Oryctolagus cuniculus: one gene and its partner. The protein of the gene in region 1 binds, or shares a complex with, the protein of each later gene. Links are inferred from orthologs where the notes say so. Each region holds a gene or a part of one and is shown on either strand. Other genes may lie near its edges.

The links. Proteins that work in one complex are often made in the same cells at the same time.
Region 2: the proteins of PLXNC1 (region 1) and SEMA7A are in contact, whole or in part, in a crystal structure (PDB 3NVQ), measured with the Homo sapiens proteins. The link is inferred for Oryctolagus cuniculus from reciprocal best matches to the Homo sapiens genes PLXNC1 and SEMA7A. Residues at the interface, in NP_005752.1 of Homo sapiens: Arg131, Thr151, Glu152, Val153, Asn195, Pro196, Ala197, Ala198, Ser199, Asp200, His201, Thr203, Ala206, Lys208, Arg213, Ser214, Leu215, Ala216, Thr217, Gln218, Glu219, Leu220, Arg222, Lys224, Glu272, Ala350, Ser352, His353; in NP_003603.1 of Homo sapiens: Gln194, Tyr196, Asn197, Gly198, Lys199, Arg202, Arg204, Tyr213, Ser215, Asp216, Thr217, Gln270, Gly271, Gly272, Glu273, Ser274, Ser275, Leu276, Val278, Ser279, Lys280, Pro372, Thr375, Glu376, Phe378, Gln379, Asp382, Arg383.

What each region holds. Positions count from the first base shown.
Region 1 is NC_091442.1:97,251,965-97,255,481, reverse strand, and holds part of PLXNC1 (plexin-C1), read right to left. Parts: intron 3,064-3,517; coding exon 2,961-3,063; intron 235-2,960; coding exon 133-234; intron 1-132.
Region 2 is NC_091443.1:109,255,731-109,258,625, forward strand, and holds the end of SEMA7A (semaphorin-7A), read left to right. Parts: intron 1-64; coding exon 65-192; intron 193-332; coding exon 333-487; intron 488-589; coding exon 590-651; intron 652-830; coding exon 831-1,192; 3' UTR 1,193-2,382; downstream 2,383-2,895. UniProt on the Homo sapiens protein: Plays an important role in integrin-mediated signaling and functions both in regulating cell migration and immune responses.

The DNA.
Region 1 (3,517 bases):
GGGCCCTGCTGTTCAGTTGTCTTCTGTTCTACCAACACTTCTCGTTACCCTGGCCGGGTTTTTTTCACTTACAGGCAAAAATATAAAAATAAAGAAAGGCTTGTTTTGTACAAATAAAATTTGAGCGCTTACCATCACGGATCTCTTTGCGGAGCTCGCTCTCCAGTAGCTCCAGCTGTTGGCTCTGCTTGCGACTCAGCTCCTGGGATTTGTGCCTGGTCACCCCCACGGCCGCTGGGGAGAGAGAGAGAGACGCTCTGGTCAGAGGGACACGTGGACTCAGAAAGACAAACAACAGTGCAGACCAAGCTTTACCGCTGGCTCAATCAATAAGAGAAAGAGGGAGGAGCGTGTTTGAGAGCGGGGTCGATGGGGAAACTGGAAAACTGTGTTTAAGAGCTGCATTTTATAAAAAGAAAATTTCCCATGAAGAGGTCACTCTAAGAGGAAGATGCTAAAATACAACATTAAAAAAAAAAATCCACTCATCTTAAAAGGGAAAACTAAATCAAATAACCTTCACTTGTAACCAAAGATCCCAGTTGGCTGAAAAGTAATGAAATCAGCCCAGTTGCCCCGCAGCCGCAGGCCACTCATATTGTTCCATTCTTTTTCTGATGTTTCTAAACATCCCTGGAGAAATAAGGCTGTGCTGCAGATGCAGAAAGAAACCTCAGGTCCACACAGCGGGCTGCACTCGCGCAAGCCCAGCTCGCCTCGCGCTAACAGGGCGCCATGAGCTGGGAGCTGCCAAGATCGGGCTGCTCCTGCCACCTGACTTCGCTTCTCATTGTGCTGGCAAGGCAGTACACGGAAGGGAGCTGGTGCTTGGGCTCAGGTCCCTGCTCTGTCATGTGCGAGCTGGGTGACCCCCCGGGAAGTTCTTCGCATCTCTGTGCGCGGCTGCTTTATCTGTCCGAGTGCCCGCCTCATCGGGATGCTGGCAGACGGACAGTAAGTAAGTTACAGAAAACAGAGAGAACTCACACTTGAAGAAAAGTAAGTACTTGACAACCAAGGACCATTACTCCTTGAATTGCCCCTCTTCTAACAGCGATTACATGACACAAGCGCTCTGCTACCTTACACGTAAATGATGTGGGGAGAAACAAAGTCAATTATGGTCCTTCACTGGACCCGTTCACACAGCACGCTCTGTGCACTTCCCGGAAAGTGTAGGATGTCAGTGGTTCCCAAACTTCCTTGCCCGCGGGACCCCCCTTTTCAGGGGTGTCACCTGGGACCATGGTTGCTCAGGCTGCCCTTTGGGCAACCCTGGTTCACACACGCCAAGGAAGCTGGGAGGTTGCGGCCATAATGCAGGGAGTTTTTCCACAGCAGACGTCTCTGGGGGACATCTCGGAGGTGGCAGGCCCCGGGCCAGCTGGGACCGACTGCAGGTGCGGGTTGCACACTCCTGCCTGGAGTCACCGCAGGGAGGGGACCAGGAGGGCAAAGGGCTCTGCAGATCCAAATGCAGTCAAGAGCCCTGTGTCAAAACCAAGCCCAAGCCACCTTCAAGGGCAGCAGCAATCCCCGCAAAGTGGAGGGAGAGGCACAGAGAGCCCCGAATGGGCAGGGAGAAGCGGGCAGCTTCCCGGGACGCCCCTAAGTAGACGCGGCTCCTGGCCAGGCTGGCACAGGTCGTTAAGAGCCCCGCGGGTCTAGCCTGTGTGGGTAGCCTCCTTTCTCAGAGCCGACAGACAGCAGCCAGGAGTAGATGGAATTGCCAAGCCTGATTCTGGATTGCAAATATACAACAGGGGTGGGCAACTCGGGGGAGGGCATTATAAAAAAAAATCTGAAGCGATCATCCGCAGGGCAAAACGGGGTGCCGGCAGAGCGAATTCATCACATTAAGCCAGTTAATTACACACATAAATCTTTCCCTCACTGGACTGTGAACAACGCGAGGGGAAGGGCCGGGCCTTAACTCATCTCTAGATCCAGAGATTGGCACAGCTGTAGCAGCAGCATAACAGATGCTTAGTAAACAAGAGACGGATGAATGCAGGAAGGAGTGAACGAATGAGAGGAGGCTATGGAAGAAAACAGTAGCATCCGCCTCCATTCGCCTAAAACGTTACAGCATGAATGGCTGCATCCAATCAAAGGACACGAAGGGCCAGCTTCGTTGGTGGAGGGAATTCTTTTTTCAACGAAGGATGGGGGGAAACAGAAATGAAAGGCAGCTCAGAACCAGAGGTTGCAAACCAAATGGCCACAGGAACCAGACACTCAGATGGATCAAGTGGTCTGGAAGAAGTTAATAGGGAGCGGTGGAGACTGTGGTGAACACCCAAGGAGCACACGGCCTGTCTGGGAGGGCAGCTGCCTCTCAGCTCCAGTAAACTGACGCTGTGGAAAAACTGAGATTCATGGATCCCAATCTTGCAAACTGTCAAGAGATTTTTTTTTAATGTAAATCATCTAATTTTCAAATGTTGTCAGCTTCTCTCAGACTTGAAGAAATGTCCTGTGGCCAAATAAAACCCAACAGTGAGCCACATAGGTCAAGGGGATCAGCAGGGGATTTCGGCACGCTGGGGAGCCTGGGAACATGTCAACAGGTGACCCCGATTTCACGTCTAACGTCTGGTTCTGCCAGGGAAGGCAGGGCTGAGGTGGAAGTGGGAGGCAGCGCCTGCTGAGGGGAGAAGGTGGGAGGAGGGAACCCAGCCCTGGGAGTCTGGAACCCCAGAGGAATTCTAAGAGAATGACCCAAGCGGGCATCTGCGGCCGTGGCCCAGGCCAAGTGGAGTCTGGTCCTCACACCCCAGGACCCCATCTTTGAAATGCACTCTTGTATTCACGAGGCCTCCTTAAAAATGTGCAGAAAGCGCTCAGCCTTCCCCAGAGTTCTGATCTGAGTTCTCCCCCGTTCACACTCAACGGCAGCAGAGAGCCTGAGAGAGGCCGCTGGGGAGGATTCCTTTGGCCAAACTACACAGGGCACTTACCAAAAATGACGATCACCAGCAAGACGGGGAGCACGATCAGAAAATACCACGTGGAGGGGACCGACTCCTGCTCCACAAACAGCTCCAGGTTCCCCAGCTTGACCTGCAAGGACAGACAGCATCACCAGACCCCACGGAGCCGGGGCCCCCACGATGCGTTCCACCCGAGCCCGAGCCCGGGGAGACGGCTGAGCTCCAGTCCCCTCTCGGGGACAGAAAGGAACAGCCCAAGGGCCTAGGACCAATCGGGAGGAGGCAGCCCGAGGGTGAGCAGCACCCCGACACTTGCTTCCCAGGGAGCAGCCCAACTCTTGCCTCCTCCTCTCCTTGCACAGTCAGGGTAGGCTTATTTTGAATAACACACCCTATGGTAAAAGCCATGTGGGTCGTGCTGACCCAATGACCCCTGAGGGACTTTTTCAGGCTTAGCATGCTTGCTTGCTTGCTTGCTTGCTTTTCTTTGAGATTTTATCTATTTATTTGAGAGGTAGAGTTACTGACAGAGAGAGGGAGAGAGAAATCTTCCATCTGCTGGTTCACTCCTCAAATGGCCCCAA
Region 2 (2,895 bases), on another chromosome or scaffold:
ACTCCCCTCTCACCCCTCACCTGGGGTCGTCTGAGCCTGAGCTGACTCTCTGCCCCGTCCACAGACAAGGGCACCATCCACAAGGTGGTGGAGTCGGGGGAGGGGGCCCACAGCCTCGTCTTCAACATCATGGAGATCCAGCCCTTCCGCCGAGCGGCCGCCATCCAGACCCTGTCGCTGGACCCTGACCGGGTGAGCCTGCCCTGCCCAGCCCCGTCCTGGGGCTCCTGCACGTGCGATCTGTGTGTCCAGCCTCTGGCAGACCCCCCAGCACCTGGGGGCTTAGGACTCAGCGGCCCTGGCCTGACCTGGCCCCTGCCCACCTCTTGCAGCGGAAGCTGTACGTGACGTCCCAGTGGGAGGTGAGCCAGGTGCCGCTGGACCTGTGTGAGGCCTACGGCGGGGGCTGCCACGGCTGCCTCATGTCCCGAGACCCCTACTGCGGCTGGGACCAGGGCCGCTGCGTCTCCATCTACAGCTCCCAGCGGTAGGTCGTCCCTGGGAGAAGGGGACGGGGAGCGGGGGAGGGGTTGGTGGGCCGCAGGGCTGAACCCCCTGTGCTGAGCCGGTCTCCCCCTTCCCGCCCTAGGGCAGTGCTGCAGTCCATCAACCCCGCTGAGCCGCACAAGGAGTGTCCCAACCCCAAGCCAGGTACGGCGATGAGCCCCAGGTGCCCTGGTGGGAGGGGACGTGGCCTCGTGCTGAGGCCCCCGGAGGGGTGGGAGCAGGGAGACCGGGGAGAACAGAAGAGCAGGGGGCTGCCCCCCACACACCCCGGGTTCACTGGGAGACCCTCCCCGCTGAGCCCCGGCCCCTCCCCACCCCCCCAGATGAGGCCCCGCTGCAGAAGGTGTCCCTGGCCCGGAACTCCCGCTACTACCTGAGTTGCCCCATGGAGTCCCGCCACGCCACCTACTCGTGGCGCCACGAGGAGAGCGTGGAGCAGAGCTGCGAGCCGGGCCACCAGAGCCCCAGCTGCATCCTGTTTATCGAGAACCTCACGGCCCGCCAGTACGGCCACTACCGCTGCGAGGCCCAGGAGGGCTCCTACCTGCGCGAAGCCCAGCACTGGGAGCTGCTGCCCGAGGACCGCGCCCTGGCCGAGCACCTGATGGGCAGCGCCTGCGCCCTGGCCGCCTCCCTCTGGCTGGGGGTCCTGCCCACGCTGGCGCTCGGCCTGCTGGTCCACTAGGGACCCCCAACCCACCCCCCTCCCCGGGGGCTGCCCACGCCCCAGGCTTCCGACGCCCCAGGGCTTCTCCAAAAGTCTCCTCCTCAGAGCCGGCTGGCCCGGGAGCCCCTCCTCTGCTGCTGCCTCCCCGGGTCAGAGGAGCCCCCGGGGGACGTCCAGCCCAGCCGCGGGCGGCTGCGGGGCCCCGGGAGGGGCAGTGACAGACCGAGAGGCCGCAGCACCGGGGATGTCCCAGGACTTAGACTTTCCAAAAGCTCCTGCTTGGACTTAGGGCAGCGATGCCCACCCGCAGGGGTCAGGAGAGGGCAGCTGGGCCTCGGGGCTGAGGTCCGTCCGGGGCCTTGTGGCCCCCCTTTCTCCACTGCCTGCTTCCCCTGGGCGGCCGGCATCCTGCAGACCAGGCCCCCTCGCGCGGCCCTGGGTCCCGCCGGACGGCCGCCTTGCATGTTTATGGAGGATGTTTGCTTTCCGGGCAGAAGGACGGAAAAAGCTCTATTTTTATGTTAGACTTATTTCATGTATAGCTACTTCCGACTGCATCCGTATGAAAATACCAAAAGCCCTTGCTGGGGGCGGGGTGGGGGGTGGCGGGGAGGGGACTGGGGGAGAGGGTGGTCCCTGTCCGAGGCTCCCAGGGGGGCGGGGGTGGGGTGGGATGAGGGTCCGGAGACCGGGGTAAGTTCGGGAAGGGTGGCAGGAGCTGGCCCTGGCCTGGGAGCTCGGTCCCAGGGGACATTGTCCAGGCCCCCCCCCTCCAGGGGAGGGGGTGGTTGTGGGCAGGGTCGGGTGCGGGAGACAGGCGAGAAGGAAGCCCTGGGTGCACCGTTGGTGTTGCGGAACGGAGCCAAGTCCTCAGGGGGAGGTTCCAGGACTCAGCCCCTTGGCGTTGGGGGTCGGGGAGGCAGGGGGCGCCTCCTCCCTGCCCCTCGGCCCCCTTCCCTGGGGGCTGTGCTTCCATGCTCCTAGCCTCCCACCTTCAGCTCAGGACTCGTCATAACTTAAGCTAAACTGTGAAAAATTCCGTGGGGACGGCCCTGCCCCCAACCCCGGCCGTGGATTTTGTCCCGAGAGCTGGGCCCCTTCTCCGGCTGGGTCTGGCTGCTTGGGGCTGGGCCTGGGGCCCCTGCATCTCTTCTCAATGCACTTTAATAATAATGTAACATATTACTAATAAACGAGCTATTTATTTACCGGTGCCTGCTGCTTGCTGCCCAGCGGGGGTGGGGGGTGGGGGCTCCTGTTTTGCAGATGTTCTCACTGGGAGGTGAGAGGTGGGAGCGGGGGCGGGGGGGGGTCTGAGCCCACACCCCCCACCCAGCCTGACCTGGAGCCCCAGGACTTCTGTGGCCTTTTCTGCCTCCCTGGTCTGCTCCAAAGAGCGCCAGGCCTCCCCTTCCTTCAGGGCTGTTTTGGGAGGGAGCAGTATTCAGACTGGGCCCCGTGGGGTGACAGAGGGGCGCGTCGTGTGCAGGCGCTGAGGCTGGGTGCTCACTCCCCACCGGCCACCCCCGGGTGGGGGTCTGGGAGAGAGCTGTGTGTGGGGATGGAGGTGGGGACCAGGGCAGTGCTCTGGGATGGAGGCGGGGTGCAGGGGGAGCCCCCATGGTCCCTGCAAGCTCTCACTGCCCAGGGTGGCTGGGAGCACTTCTGAGCAGGAACTGCTGGAGACGTGTGTGGGGCAGTTGGGACAGTTCCCACCTGCA